Linked DNA regions of Rattus norvegicus. The protein of the gene in region 1 interacts with the protein of each later gene in a pairwise test. Links are inferred from orthologs where the notes say so. Each region holds a gene or a part of one and is shown on either strand. Other genes may lie near its edges.

Region 1 (5,239 bases):
TATCACAGAGAAAGGAGCCTCAGTTGAGGAAATGCCTCCATGAGACCCAGCTGTAAGGCATTTTCTCAACTAGTGATCAAGTGGGGCGGACCCAGCCCATTGTGGGTGGTGCCGTCCCTGGGCTGGTGGTCTTGGGTTCTATCAGAGAGCAACCTGAGCAAACCAGGGGAAGCAAGCCAGTAAGTAACATCCCTCCATGGCCTCTGTATCAGCTCCTGCTTCCTGACCTGCTTAAGTTCCGGTCCTGACTTCCTTTGGTGATGAACAGCAACACAGAAGTGTAAGCTGAATAAACCCTTTCCTCCCCAACTTACTTCTTGGTCCTGATGTTTGTGCAGGACTAGAAACCCTGACTAAGACAGAAGGGGCAAGGAAATAAAGAAAAGGAGAGAGGTAAGGTTCTGAGTTAGGTTTGTTTGACTAGCGTGGCCACTTCCCCTCTGTCTAGACTTGGGGGGCAGTTACCTTGGAGCTGCTGGATCTGTTTGGTGAATACTTCGGCCTGCTGGGCACTGGCCAGCCGCTCATCCTCCAGGAGCCCTGCAGTGAGAGGAACGTCTGGTTTGGAACCGGGGATACACACACCCTTTGGGCCCAAGACCCTGCCCTGTCACGGGTGCTCACCCTGAAGCTCCAGGCAGTCATCCTCATGCTGCCCAGCAAGCTCACGGGTCTCCTCCAGCTCTGCCACCAGCTGGAGCACCTGAGCCCTCAGCTCCTCCAGCTCTGTCTCTGTGAGGCTCAGGCCCCGATGCTTGCCCACTGACAGGGAGCCCAAACTGCCTTCTTTCTGTACTTGATCTTCTTCTTCAACCTCTTCCTCTTCTTCCTCTTCTTCCTCCTCCTCCTCCTCATACAGAGCTGGAAGTAACACCTCCCCTAGGAGAGACAATCATCCCACCACACAGTCAGTACCTGTTCCAGAACCCTGCACCTGGAGTGGTAACCCCAGGCCCTGGACAGCAGAATAGTGCCACCTGGTGTCCCCCCCCCCCCCGAGGTTCCCTGGGATAGGACCTAACTCATGGTCAGGCTCTGGTGGGTCAAATTTGGATGCACCTTTTCCAGCTTCCTGACACCTAATATTGACTATCTACTGCCTTTACAGCAGCCTCATGCAGGCTCAGCTACAAGAAGCTTGCTTGAGGACACCTAGCACTGGTCGTCTCAACTCTGAGTAGTGGGACAAGGAGTTTAGAAAGGATTCAGACATTCAGACACCAGCTGTTTATTTAGGCCAAATGGAGCAAGCTTGGGAGGAAAAAAAAAATCTAGGTGGCTTGCAAGGTATTAGAGCCTTTTCATAATAAGAAAACACCGGCCTGGCCTGTAGGTAGCAAAGGAAACATTAGGCGGAAATGACTTGGTGGAACCCTTTCAAATGTATGTTATCAAATATCTTCTTGAAATTTTCTACACCCGATGTTTCCGTGTTGGGTGCCACAAGGTTCATCCCTTGCCTGCTGACCAAAGTTGATTTTCAGAGTAAGTGTCAGGCTGAACTCGTGTATGAAAGAAAGTCAGCCATCTTAACACATTCTTCTAAATTACTCATTTATTTATTTAATGCATACAGGTGCCTGTGTGTGTGTCTGTCCCTGCGTGTGTGTCTGTCCATCATGTGAGTGCAGCGCCCTTGCAGGTCAGAAGAGAGTATTAGAGCCTCTAAGACTGGAGTCACAGACAACTGTGGGCTGCGATGTGGGTGCTGGGAACTGGTCAACTGCTAAGCCATCTCTCCACTCCTGCTGACACATTTGAAAAACTGATACTGGTCTTCATGTTCAGGCTCGTGAACACTTTTTTTTTTTTAACTGCAATGCAGTTCCTGTAAATAGCAACATCTTGTCTTGGTAGGGATTGCTTTGTTTTTAAATTCTAGATGTCTGGTCTTCCCTTTTCTAATGCCAACAGCACACAGTTAATCTGAGATCCCTTATGCGATCTAAGTCTCTAGGGAAGGCCTGTGCTGAACTATACAGGGGCCTGGGGACACTTCACAAGAAGACCTGGATACTGGGTTGGTACCACCTGCCCTGCTACACAGGAGTGCTGCTGGGAAATAGGCTTCATCGAGCTCTCTCCTAAGCACTTTCTTACTAAAGCTGCAGAGCTCTGTTCAGAGTTGACAGTGGCGGCATCGAAAAGACAGTTCACATGTCCATGTCCTGGCTTTTAAAATAAGAGACAGCTTGGGATCTGGGTCAACAGGCAGGGAGAAGAACAAGCCCCCTGCCGAAAGCCTGTTTCCAGGCTGGCTTCAGCAGGACCTCTTTCTGTCTGGCGGCTCCCCCAGGACACACAACCTGGTTAGCTGGGTGATTGGAGCCCCAAAGGGATGAGCCCAAACTTCCATCAATGCCTGAACCCAGGGGAGGCTTGGAGCTCAGCCACCAGGAAGGAGGGGCTTGAAATGAAGTAAGGGAAGGGCCCTGTCCTGGCTCAGAGCTCTGGGGTCAGGAAGGAAGGAGGAAGGGAGTTATGGAGTGATGGAAAAGCCTTTTTCAGAAAACTCACCCTCCATAGCTTGCATCCCGCGGCGCTCCAGGGACCCCCAGCGTTGGCCTTTCTTCCTCTCACAACCCTCAGATACCTCATAAGAGCCTAAAGTAGTTACTGTGGGTCCTGTGAGCAGGGAGAAAGTAGGCACTGTAGGTTTCGAGGGGAAAGAAAGGGACCTGCGTTCTTATATGGGAGCCCCGAAATTTGTCATCACACTGGAGAAGCCTGACTCACTCTGCCCAGCTCTGTGATTCTATTCCCTTAGCCACCTCCCATGCTCTGCCTATGGAGAAGACCCCAGCCCGGAGCTACCTAACATCAGCACCCCTGTTCCAGGCTGTTTCCGGCTCCTCTCCCTCGCCCAGACAGAAGAGGGTGAGTGTTTAGCTTGGGGCACAAGGAGAAGAGGGATAGGGTGGGAACTAGGAAAGAAGGTTTTGGGAGGGTCCTTTATAGCAAAGCAGAGTAGGGAGGGGCGGCCGGACCAGGAGAGAAGAGAGGGGGCTCTAAACTAGGCCGTTTCCTCAATCTCTCCCCTCCCCTCCTCTCCCTCACCAGACCTCGCCCACCCCACCCTCTCACGGTAGTCAAGAGCTTTGATGAACTAGAAGGGTGCAGGTTCTAGAGACAATCCCCTCGCCCCCCTCGTGAGCTGGAAGCACTGTTGGGCTGGAGAGACTGGATGGGGAGCGCTTGGGGAGTGACCGCTGGGAAGAGACATCCCAGGTCGAAAGATGGAGAGCAGTATCCGGTATCCGGTGGAGGCCAGGGTGGAGGAAGCCGACTCAGTACCAGGAGAACCTGGGGGTCAGAAGGAAGGAGAGACGTTGGGGGAAAGAGCATAGGGAGCTGAGGGAGAGGCGGCTCTGACCTGGGCCAGGGCAGCTCCAGCCCGCGGCTCCCGCGCCGGCCCCGCCGCCTGCCTCCATGGCCGCTCCCGTCGCTGCCGCCGCCTCCCGAGCAGAAGCCGCAGCCTCCGGGCCGGGGACCGGGAGCCCGGTGCGCAACGAAGAGAGAGGGCGGGCCGAGAGGGCGGGGCCTGGCCTGGCCACCTGACGCGAGTGCCCGCCTGCGGCCGCCCGGAAACCCTCCCCAGTGCCGGCTCCCAGACCCATCGGGGACCTGCAAAAGAGTCTCAGAGCAAGCACCCAAGTGCCCCAGGCTCGCCCGAGGCAGCTTCAGGTCTGCTGCGCCTGCAAAGCAGGCGTGGGCTACTGGATCTTGAAGATGCTCCCAAGGAGTGCTAGGATGGCTTGGTTCTGGCTGCAGAACCCACCCTGGGTCAGCCGTGCGTGGGGACCTCTCTGCGCTGGGGTATCAGGGCCTGGTCTTGCCGGGTGATAGAAGCCGGGGAGTTTTGGGTAGAGGGGTGGGGTGTTGAATAGACTGTTTCATGCAGATGCGCAGACACGCGCGCACACTTCCTTGGTCTCCAGGCTGGGCCAGCATCTCCATCCCGGCAGTCTACAGAGCCCATCCCCTCCGGGTGGCCTCGCGCACCCCAGAGCTATTGCAGAGCTGGCGGGTAGGGAAATTGAGACCTGGATGTGCCAACTACCAGGCGGCACATCACTGCTTTCCCCCGAATTCCCACCAAGCCAGAGGCCAAGGATCCACCCAGACTGTCTCTAAGTGTACCAAGATCGTCCTTTGAGCCACGCCCTCTGTGACCTGTGCCGTGTGAGCACCACTGATGTTCCCTGTAACAGGAGATATGGGAAACCATATCTTTTCATCTTTTCATCTATTTATTCAAGAGATGAACTTGATCTTGAGGCAGATCTGACATCTCAGGAGGAATGGGCTCCCCGAGTCCTAATCGTGGGGAGATTTCTAAACTGGGTACTCACACCAGTTCTTTCTCTTGTAGTCTCACTCCTAAAGTTTGGACCTGGATTGGCCTTGTTCGAACTCCCCAAGCTGCAAGGCTCTTAAGACTCCATGTTCCACAGGAATGAAGCACTTCTTTGCCTGCTGCACATGTCTAGTTTTTCAGTAATTTCAGCCTCGGGTTGAGAGTTACTCTCCAGACACGCCATCCCTTCCTTATTAGACACCCCTGTTATGCTCTTCTGACCCTCTGGGCAGCATCAGAGTACTGGCTGCCGTTAAGATTGGGAAGTACCCTAGCTATCTTTGTATCTTTTTTTTTTCTTTCCTTCGGAGCTGGGGACCTGGGGACCGAACCCAGGGCCTTGCGCTTCCTAGGCAAGCGCTCTACCACTGAGCTAAATCCCCAACCCCCTTTAAAATGTGTAGCCCAGGCTAGCCTCGAACTCGTGATCCTCCTGCCTCTGCCTCCTTCAGCAAATCCTACCGGTGTGCGCCACCACAACCGGCCATCTTTGTATCTTTATTATCAAAGTATCTGACTCTTGGAATAAATGAGTTGACATGAACCTTCCAACTACATTAATAATGCCTTCCTCATTAATCACAGATTTTAACTCATGGATTTAAACTCATGTTCCTATTAACAATGATGCCTGCCAGGCAGTGACGGCACACACTTTAATCCCAGCACCTGGGAGTCAGGGGCAGGCGGAGCTCTATGATTTCGAGACCAGTCTGGTCTACAGAGTGAGTTCTAGGACAGCAAGGGCTACACAGAGAAACCCTGTCTCTAAAAACAAAACAAAACAAAAAAAGTCCAAAAATTAGAAGAAGTCAATAGTAAGTCCCACCCCCACCCCCAGCCTGATGATCAGAGAAATGAATGATTGTTCATTTTCACCAG
Region 2 (5,374 bases), on another chromosome or scaffold:
GACAGTGAAAGACACCCTGGTTCTCAGTTGAGGAGATTTGAACCCTGGAGACCCTGAAAGGGCCAGTAGGCGCTTTGCCTGACTCCCAGGAAACCAGGCTGGTCACTGGCCCGCAGCCCTTCATAGATCTGTGACCATCTGTCACATAAGGGAAACACCCCAAGCTCCTTCACAGGTAGAGGACATGACCATAGGTCAAGTAGGCTCAAGACAGATCTCCATTATAATGAGATACCTAAAGGTCTGGAGACTTAGCCAATGAACTTTCCTTCCAGAAACTCTTCCCTGAAAAAGATATTTAATCCCAGGCCCACTCTGAGAAGTGGAGTACAATTTTTCTCATTCCCTATCCACCATCACAATAAATGCCTTGAAACCATGGACTACCTCTTCTTATGGGATCCACGGTGGCAAGCCATTGAGAATCCCTTCGCCTACAGAGCCAGTCACCTAATCTCCCATAGAAGACTTTCCTGCCCTCCCAGCTTCAGCCCTCTACCAAGCCCAAGCCTGATACCCAGGACAGCCAAAGACTTCCCAGCAGGACCAGTTGGAGCATCCCCCCTCCTTTTCCCCCTCTGCCCCTGGCTAGATCGGCCCCCACTCTGTTTCTGCAGCATCCCAGCGGTGCCTGGATGCCCAAGAGCCTAAGAACTGAAGGCTGCAGCGTCCTGTCCTCAGACGGTGCTTCCCTACCCTGGAGCAGTGTCCCGCAGCTTCCCACAGTCTAACACCCACCTGACGGGTCAAACTTCCCGAATCCTGCCTCCCAGAGCAGCCTGAGCCCTGTGACAGAGCAGAAGGACAGAAGTAGGCCCCCTACTCAATCCTACAGAGAATCATGGTGACTGAGGAGGTTCTGTTGGGCACAGAGCTCTGGGACCAGAAGGTTTTGGCTAAATGAGTGGTCTGTATGTCTCTAAGAGGGTCGAAGGGTCACAGGGATAAGAATACAGAAGAGAGACCGGGGCCTCTCATTCTTCACAGGTTCTGTTGGTAACCCAAAAGGTCCCAGGGTTCCTTCCTAAAGACTGAGTCTGGTTCTGGGTGTGCACAGACTGGTGGGAACAGTAGCTTCGATAGCAATCCCTGGTCTTTCCTGGGCAGTGAGGAGAGAGCCGGAGGAGAATGATACTCTTGCTACAGGGTGAAGTTTACACTGAGAACAGCTGCAGGAACCTGGTTACTGCACAAGATCCTTTCATCCCCCTCCCCTTTTTAGGAGGGTTTCACATATCCCCAGTTGGCCTCAAACTTGTTACATAGCCAAGGGTGACCTTGAACTCTTGATTGGCCTGCTTCCACCTCCCAAGGGCTAACACTATAGGCATAGCCACCATGTCCCATTTATGGGGTATCATCGATCCATCTCAGGGCTTTGTGCATGCTGGGTAAGTTCTTGACCAACTGGGCTGAATCCTTATGGTCTTCTTGTCACTTTCTGACTGCATTCCCTCTATCTTCAATGTTCTTATTGTGTTTCTGGTCTATCAGTTACAACACATGACACTGGGTCCACAAAGTGTTCAGGGATTAAAGCAAAAGAAACAATGTAACACATGATCTTAGCTTGTGTGGCCTCAAGCAAACAGCTCCTGCGCTCTCAGCCTCTGACCAGTGGAGATCATGGCCACCTCCCGTCCCCTCAGGTCATTAGAATGTGAGACCTTGTGGTGTGCACACTGTAGTTTGTAGACTACCTGGCTGAGTAGGCAGACTGTGAACCTCTTTCTTGTCCTGCATGTTTTGGAGTGAGCACGGGACTTGGTCTGACTCTCATGATTATCTTGAAGGCAACTCATTTTGTAGTTGAAGAAATCAGGGCTTATCAAGCTAAGGTACACGCCAAGTACTTAGCAAAGCCAGGATTGTTGGACTCCAAACCTAGTACTCTTTCTACCATAGAACTGTCTCCTAGGAATGGCATGTTTTTGACTCAACAGAACCAATTTACAGCCCTTTGCTCTCTCTCTCTCTGTATACTCAATAAACCCCTGTGAAGAGGAAGGCTGAGAACATGATGGCCAGAGAACCAGACAGTGAGAAACGCAAGCACTGCCCTGCTGCTTGAAGCAGCTTTTTCCTGTCAGGCCTGTGGCCAGGTTTCAACCCCCAGTTCCTCTAAACCTTTCTGGTTCAGCATCAGCAGGGGGGCTTTGAGAAGCACTGGCAAGAGAAGGAGAAACATTCAGAAAAATGACAAGCTGGCTGCCACATGTCCTGCTTGCTCTCTCCTCCCTGTGGGTGGTATGCATTTGTAGCTCAATGGCTGGCCAGTAACCTAAGAACGCATTTGGCAACAGCTCTAGGTCTCCCTGCAGACTCAGGTCAATCTTCTTCGTCTTGGAGCCACCTATCCATTTAGGCAAGAAGGCTCCAGACTACTTCAGGTCTTGGTCCCCTGGATCCGTTTCACCAGAGAAAAGAAAGGTTGGATTTGAAGGGTGAGGCCTATAGGGTCCATAGCAAGGCTGGGGATTGTGCCCTGCTGTTGAGCAGGAAGCAGCGTGAGTGGATGTCCCATACTGCTATCCTTGTGATCTGATGACAGCTGTTGCACCTGGCAGCTGGCTCAGGGAAAAATCACAGCAGGGGTTGCCAGACTTCACAGTGAGGAAGCCATCAGGACCCAAGCACCCAGAAACCCATGTGTGTGGGAGGACTGTTTCAAATTTAGAGCCCATCCCACTAATAGCAGCTTCCTAGTGACAGGCAATCCCCTGATCCCTGGATCCCTGATTTCTCTAGTCCCAGACTGGCCGTGTACCACGTGATGAAGCCAAGTCCATCGGCAAGGCGGGAATCACCCATAGCCTGCATTCTCAGTACAGGCTGAGTAATGAGCTATTCGTCTAGTTTCCGACTCAAAACTCTCAATAAACTGAGAAGGTGGGCAACCCCTTCTTAGGAACAGACCTCAGAGACGTCGTCTGATTTCTCCAGATCACATAGCCAGTGTGTGAGGTAGCCAGAATCCGAGCTGAGCTTTGGTACCCAAATCCAAGTTCTGTGCTTTTCTCATTGCATATAGAACCTGGACTATCTGCCGATTGTGTCTATCTGTCCTCTATTAAGTGAACCCTCCTTGCTGACCCTACATACCCCTACTGTGTGATGATGGATTTAAGAGAGGCTGTAGCAGATGTTAAATTCCTCTCAGTGTTTAGAAGTAAAAGGTCAACCAGACTGCCGGGTTGTAACTGAGAGCCTACTTAACCCTCTATCTCCCACCCCCACTTCACATCCCTGCCTCTTCTCACCTCAGTAAGGCAGGGTCCCAGTACCTACATTTTGAAGGGCTTAGTTGCTGGGACAGCTTGCTCCGATGCTCTTAGGTCATCTCCTTCCCACCACCTTCTCCTAGAACACACTCAGCCTAACAGATGTGAAGCAGAATAGATCAGAGTCTTACTTCTCTACAGGTCCGGGGCTGTGAGCTCCTTGGCAGTGTCTGGGCTGCGAGGTCCTCTGCAGGTTTCAGACTTAGGGAGTGCTAAGCCAGTCCCAGATGGCTGAGGCAGCCACCCCCAAAGGGCGGGCCTTAAACCCCCAAGATGGGAGGCAGTTTTGCATTCCCATTTATTCTGATAGCAATGAAAAAGAACTGTTGCTATAGAAACCGTTATTTTACTTGGTGAGTGGCCGTGTCCGAGACTCAGAACACCATGTCCAAGCCACCCTGATTGAGAGGCACCAATAAATACCCGTGTTGTCAGATTGATGAGGAATATGACTCACACCAAGCTTTGTTCTGAACAAGGCGGCTCCTGGCTTCTGAGGAGGAATTTCCCTTGTTTGTATGGGAGGGAATTCCAGCACTTCCCCAAAGGAGGGGAGGGGAACCACGCTTCCTGCTGCAGTGAGGGATTCTTTAGAACTTGGCTCTTGGATACTAGCAGGGAGAGAACTATACCCAGACAGTTCTTGGCAGCCCTGCAGGCTTAGGTGTAAGAAACATTGTGAAGTGAAGTGGTCATCTACAAATGTGTTGGGCACATGGACAGCCAGAGCATTTGGGAGGCAGAAGGAGGTAGATCTCTGTGTTCAAGGCCAGCATGGTCTACAGAGAGAGAGAGTTCCAGGATAGCCAGGACTACACAGAGAAACCCTATCTCAAACAAACAAACAAACAAACAAACAAACAAACTTCACACAATTAATTTCCACAGAAGAACCAGCAGGATGTAGTCCAGGAAAAGGGCAGCGGATAGATTTGTACCTAGCCCACTCTGATCCTAGTCCCTTCTGTACTTTGGCTTTCCTGTGTGTGTTGGCTGCGCGTGACCTCAATGAGATGGTGTTCATTAAAGCAGCCTTCAGAGAACTGTCATGTGCTAAAGGCAGAGCCCCAATGTGCATGCCTGTGCCTGGCCACAATGAGAGTGTGCGCAAAGAGAAGCTGTGGGCTTGGGCAGAACCCCAAAGCCAATCTAGGTGCTTGTAGATCAAAGGCCTTCTCTGCACCTCTGAACTAGCTACTGCTCGAGCCTTGGGCCATTCTGTCGTTTGGCATTATTCTCTGTCCCCCAACTGAGGAAACCAGCCTCTGCCAGTGAGACTAGGCCTGTACCCCAGTTTACTTTCTCATGGAACTTTGGTCGGTCAAGAGCGATGAGGTTCAGGTCACACACATCACAGGTAGGCAGACATATTCCACACGCAGTTTGAGTTCATTTTGGCCCTAGGATCTGTTCATGTAGTCAATATCTAATATGTATGTGTATATTTCCTGGCATGTTCTAAGTGGGCGTATGATGGGAAAGCAACAGAGAGAGACAGTACCCCTGTTCTCAGGGGATCCACATTCAGTGTGTGTGTGTGTGTGTGTGTGTGTGTGTGTGTGTGTGTGTGTGTGTGTGTGTGTGTGGTGTGCATGTGTGTGTAGTGTGTGTGTGTGACAGTAGATAAAAAGACATACAAGAAAATGTCAACCAGTGATGTATGACTGTAGAAAGGCTGAGTAAGGAAGGGCAGTGACTGGAAGCTTGGGAAAGGTGGGCGCAGACAAGGAGTCATTGCTTATGTGGGACAAATGTTTAGGGTGAGCACAGCTAGTGTCAAGGCTCTGGAGTGGGAATGAACTGGGAATGATAGAGGGAGGCCAGTAGAGCCAAGGTGGGGAAGGACGGAGATGGTGGAAGGGCCTGAGAAAGGGAGATGCAGGAGGGACCACTCTGAAGCCACAGAAACTTAAGAGCCACCCATTCTTGGGCATGAGAAATGCTCTAGGAATAACGTGTAGTACTCTATGTCTATTGCTCCCAAGTCTGCCTTTCTGGAAATCCCTGGAATAGTGGCCTCCCCCAGTTTCCCACCCTGGCTGCTCCATTTTACTCCTGGCCAAATAGGACGACAGAAGTCTCGTATGGGCTGG
Region 3 (5,209 bases), on another chromosome or scaffold:
TTCTCCATCTACTCACCGGCTTCCCGAACCTTCCGAGCATCCACAGCAAATTTCTTTTTCCCCCTGGTACTCCTTGTGGGTCTGGCAATCTCTGCTGTCCCTGTGCTTTACAGTATCTTCCTGTAAGTATGAGAGACGTCTGTTTCTCTTTGCGTTCACCCACGGTATTCACTGTGGCCCTAATTGATTGAATCCAATGTGTCTCCTCCTACAGGATCCCACCTTCTAAGCTGTGTGGCCCATTCCAAGGGAAGTTGTCCATTTGGGCCCAGATCCCTGAGTCCATTGAGAGCCTCCCTCAGACTGCCCAGAATTTTCTCTACTTTCTGGGAACCCAGGCTTTTACTGTACCCCTTCTGATCGTCTCTAGGTGAGCGGTCAGAGTTTGAATGTGTGCGATTTAGTGTTTGAAAGAGAAAGGAGTAGGGTGCGGGGCACCTGAGTGTTAGAGAGGACTGGATGCCTATGTACAACAGAGGAGAAGTTGGGCTGGCCTGGATGCCTAGATCAAGAGCAGGAGAGTTGCAGTACGAATGCATAGGATCTAAGAAAAGACATCTGGGTTTGGACTCCTGGGTCTGAGGAAGAAGGGCTAGGGTATGGATTTATGGATTTGATGAAGGGGGAGGTGGTATGGAACCTGAACCTCTGGTTTAAGCAAAATCCCCAGACCCATCCAAAGGGTCTGTACTCTTGGGTCTGAGATGAGAGGATAAAGGGTGGCATTCAGAGTCTCAAGAAGGGTTTTAAGGGATTTGGGAATCCTGATAGTGATTTCTTTAATTTACTTATTCATTTAGTTTTATGTGTGTTGGTATTTGGACACATATGTCTGTGTGAAGTAACGAACTTGAGTTACAATCGTAAGCTGCCATGTGGCTGTTGGGTGCTGGGCGTTGAACCTGGGACCTTTGGAAGTGCATCTAATGTGCGGGTTACGAGCCATCTCTCCAGCCTCCTGATCCTGGTTTCTAAGGAGCCATATGATGAAGATGATTTCTAGAGTGATTTTCATTCCTGTTTTCTTTAGCATCCTGATGATGTATACAGTAGCCCTGGCTAACTGTTATGGACGCCTCATCTCTGAGCTCAAACGCCAGATAGAGACGGTGAGCTAGGCTGATTTCCCCAGGCAGGGCTCTCTCTATGAGAAGATGAAAGGGGAACACTGGTGAGGAGGTGTGCTTCACTTTCACTCTTTTTTTGCCCACAGGAAGTACAAAATAAAGTCTTCCTAGCCCAGCGAGCTGTAGCTCTGAGCTCAAGGAATGGAGTTTCCTGATTAGTCTGGCTGGACCTTCAGCCCCTCACACCCATCATAAACTTCATTGACTTCATATACCAAGCAGTGGGGCCCTCTCATCTCTGGAATCAAACCCCACGCCTTCTGCCACCGAATGCCACACTCTCAATTGAACCATGTTAATAAACAATAGCCAAGTCCATTAAGCGTTTTGAAACCCCGTTCTGGTGGCGTGGACGAGGTTTGGGGAGGGGCCAGGTCCATGACGGCTTGAAGGGCTTGGTTGTGTCTGCATAAAGGGATAGACAGGCAAGGCAGATCTTCGCCAGCCTCTTCCTGCAGCGACCGGTCAGGTTACAAATGCTTAGGATTGGCTGAGATGGAAAGCTTCTCAGCCAATCATCTCTAACAAAGGTTTAGGGGGGTGTGGCAATTGGCCCAGAACCAATGCACGGGCTAGGGTGGAACCATGGGGCGGGAGCATCCTCGAGCCAATCGGAAGTGCTGAAGAGTGGGCCTGACAGTCGGAGGTCGGCTTTGGAGCCATGAATATCTTACCCAAGAAGAGCTGGCACGTCCGGAACAAGGACAATGTCGCTCGCGTGCGACGCGACGAGGCCCAGGCCCGGGAGGAGGAGAAGGAGCGTGAGCGGAGGGTGCTGCTCGCTCAGCAAGAGGTAAGCCTGGGGCAGGCCCAGAAGCGCGGCCGGCCTGCCTATCACTTGGTGTCAGGTGCGGCTCGGTGTGTTTGGCGTGTTCGGCGATGTTTCTCTGAAAATCCTGTGCTAACTTCCATAAAACCTTCCTAGATTTCCCCACCGGCGTTGAAGGGGCCATAGGCTAGCACACAGGAAGAGTTGGACAAATATTCTGATTACTTTATAGGTTGCCCGCACAAGTTAATACTGATCACCCACTGTGTGTATGCTCCCTTCAGAGCTCTTGATTTGAGAAATTCCTCTTAGAACATTTTAGAGGGGTGCAGTCACCTTGCTTTGAGTGCCACGGCTTCAGCAAGAGAGCGAAGGACATCTGGAAGCATTATTTGAAACAGGGTCTCTGTTGCTGTACTGGAACTGGCTGTGTACACTAGGCTGGTCTCGAGCTCAGAGATCCGCTTGCCTGTGCCACCTGAACGCTGGTATTGAAGTACACTCACGCATTAACACAGACTTTAATAGTTACTCGATCAGTTTGGTTTACCCTTAAGTTCTTTGCCAATCTGATCATGAATTAGTGTGGGCCTTTAAAATTTTAAAAAAAAAAAAAAGGTGAAGCTTGTAATTACGCCCAGATACTAAGGCTACAGAGAGGGGAGTATTGTGAATTGGAGACTATCCTGAGCAATTCAGACTCTATCTGGAGTCGGTTTGTATTTGGAATGGTGACCTGGAGCCATGCCTTGGGTTCAGATCCTTTGTCCAGAAAGCAATGTTTGGCTACAAGTTTGGGAATATGCACATACTTGTGCTGGGGACTGAACTTCGAACTATACACACTAAGCAGGGGCTCTATAGCTGAACAAGCCACCTCTACCCTATTACTCCAGGCTGGAAAGTCTTCTGTTTTAGGCCAGAGGTCTTCTCCCACCTATCTCTGATAGCCCAGTTTACTGTTTAAAAACAATGGTTCTCCACCCAAAGTTAGAAGTGGTGTCTTTTTTGGCTCCCAATACCTCCATTCCCCCATCTCTTTTTTTCCTTTGATTTTTCAAGACAGGGTTTCTCTGTGTCGTTCTGGAACTAACTAACTCACTCTATAGAACAGGCTCACCTTGAATTCAGAAATCCCCCTGCCTCTGCCACCAGAGTGCTGGGATCAAAGATGTGTGCTACCACTGCCCTCCCTGCCCATGGACCCTTCTTATATCCTCAGCACTTCTGGACTCAGAATGTACTGCCTATAACCCTTCATAGGCCCGTACGGAATTCCTACGGAAGAAAGCCAGGGGCCGAAACTCACTGCCCGAGCTGGAAGCAGCAGACCAGGGAGCTCCATGTTCTGGCCCTGTGGACCTGTTTCGGGAGCTGCTGGAAGAAGGAAAAGGAGTGCCCAGAGGCAATAAAGAGCATGAGGAAGAGAAACGACAGGAAAAAGTAAGCTGGCCTCATTTGTTGGTGGAATCCTGGGGGGATGGGTGGGTGGGGTAGAGACTGGCTGTGACTGTTAGGATATGGTGATAGATGAGTGCATAGAAAATTTAGCAGTGAGAGGTATCACCTACAAGCTGGTTATTGCTATACAACACTTAAACTGGCTAAACCTTTTTCATGGGACTAAAGAAAGTCTTAAGCTATTTTATTTTGAGAGGAGATCACAACTACATAGACCAGGGTGCCTTCCAGTTTTTAATCCCCCTGTCTTGGCCCCCTGGGCCAAGTGTTGGGATCACAGGCACAAACCTCCAGACAGCAATTGTGCTTTTTAAACTATGACTTGTACTGTGGCTCTCCTACACCTCACCCAACTTTGAAGGTGCTGTCTCCCACTGAAAATCACTCCTCTGCTTGGCTTTTCTGTGGACTGTTCCCAAATTAAGCTTCTTCCATCTTCCATTACTGCACAGGCCACTGCATTCCTTTTCTTCCTCCTGCAAATAAGCTCCTGATGCTTTGCAAAGCTGGTTCCTGAACGTTCTTGTAATTTCCCTTGTTAAATGTCTGCCTACCAATCCGTCTCTAGAAACTCAGGCGCTGGGTTTTTCTATTGCCACACCTAGGGCTCCCAGAGGGACTGAAAAGACTATTTTGTTTTCTTGCCCCTGCAGGAGAGACAAGAGAAAGCACTAGGTATTCTGACATACTTGGGCCAAAGTGCAGCAGAGGCCCAAACTCAACCTCCCTGGTACCAGCTACCCCCAGGGCAAAAAGGCTGCCCTCCAGGCCCAAGCCCAGATGAGAAGATCAAAAATCGACTGGACCCCTTGAGGGAGATGCAGAAGCACCTGGGCAAGAAAAGGCACAGCAGCGAAAGCCATCCTTCCAGAGAGGAACGGCCTCCAAAACAACGGCCCAGAGAGTAAGAATAAACATGGCCCACAGTAGAGCAGAGTGAGACTTTGTGAAGATCTAGCACACCAGCCAGGGTACCACAGAAAGGCTAAACAGGTCAGGCAAGATGAAGTGGTTCTTGGTATGCTGTCTAGGGACCTCTGTGGAGACACTTAAGGATTCTAAGAACAGTAGCTTGTATACAGCATATATATATTTTTTAATGTGTATTTTAATGAGTACTTGTTACATGTCTATGTACCACGTAATTGCCGATGCCTTTAGACTAGAAGGCATTGGGGTCCCCTGAAACTGAATACAGTTGCATTGAGAATCACCATATAGGTTGCTGGGAATGAAACCCAAGTCGCAAAGAACAGCCAGTACTCTTAACCACTGAACCATCTCTCCAGCCCTTCAGTTTTTCCTTTGGGACAGGATATCACTATGTCACTCTGTCTGGCCTTTGCTTCCCAAGTGATCTTTGTGGCCCTCAGGTTTATGGTTTGTTTTTAGAGTTTCAATGTTACACTGGCTGTCCTAGATCTATGTAAAAACCAGGCTGGTCTCGTACTCAGAGATCCATCTCTGCCTCCTGCTTCGATTAGAATGTGGCCCAATCACATTCAGCTCTTCTTTTATTAAGAGCTTTTTATGAAACCTTCATTGCCACAGTAGAAGGCACCCTGACAGTAAAGAGCCTATTTGACTTTGGTTCTCAGGTTTTTGTGTTTTTGAGACAGGGTTTCTTTGTGTAGCCCTGGATGTCTTGGAACTTGCTCTATAGACCAGGCTAGCCTCAAACTTGGGAGATTCACCTGTCTCCACCTGGAGTGCTGGGATTAAAGGTGTGTACCACCACTGCCAGACAAAGATTTATTTTTATTTTATGTGCATTAGTATTTTGCCTGCTGGTGTGTTGGTGCCAGGTCCCTTGGAACTGGAGTCACAATTTTGAGCCGATGGGTGCTAGGAT

The links.
Region 2: the proteins of Ccdc136 (region 1) and Fam107a interact in binary tests that used the Homo sapiens proteins (3 or more experiments, as listed by UniProt). The two-hybrid records come from large-scale screens. The link is inferred for Rattus norvegicus from reciprocal best matches to the Homo sapiens genes CCDC136 and FAM107A.
Region 3: the proteins of Ccdc136 (region 1) and Leng1 interact in binary tests that used the Homo sapiens proteins (3 or more experiments, as listed by UniProt). The two-hybrid records come from large-scale screens. The link is inferred for Rattus norvegicus from reciprocal best matches to the Homo sapiens genes CCDC136 and LENG1.

What each region holds. Positions count from the first base shown.
Region 1 is NC_086022.1:58,961,485-58,966,723, reverse strand, and holds the start of Ccdc136 (coiled-coil domain-containing protein 136), read right to left. Parts: upstream 3,529-5,239; 5' UTR 3,432-3,528; coding exon 3,374-3,431; intron 2,626-3,373; coding exon 2,518-2,625; intron 880-2,517; coding exon 625-879; intron 541-624; coding exon 466-540; intron 1-465. UniProt on the Homo sapiens protein: May play a role in acrosome formation in spermatogenesis and in fertilization.
Region 2 is NC_086033.1:19,044,668-19,050,041, reverse strand, and holds the start of Fam107a (actin-associated protein FAM107A), read right to left. Parts: upstream 3,462-5,374; 5' UTR 3,413-3,461; exon of another isoform or gene 3,261-3,412; intron 1-3,260. UniProt on the Homo sapiens protein: Stress-inducible actin-binding protein that plays a role in synaptic and cognitive functions by modulating actin filamentous (F-actin) dynamics. Mediates polymerization of globular actin to F-actin. Also binds to, stabilizes and bundles F-actin.
Region 3 is NC_086019.1:74,465,595-74,470,803, forward strand, and holds the start of Leng1 (leukocyte receptor cluster member 1), read left to right. Parts: upstream 1-1,748; 5' UTR 1,749-1,788; coding exon 1,789-1,920; intron 1,921-3,159; coding exon 3,160-3,339; intron 3,340-4,010; coding exon 4,011-4,261; intron 4,262-5,209. Other genes in the region: Tmc4 (transmembrane channel-like protein 4), read left to right, coding at 1-122, 215-370, 1,031-1,109, 1,214-1,282.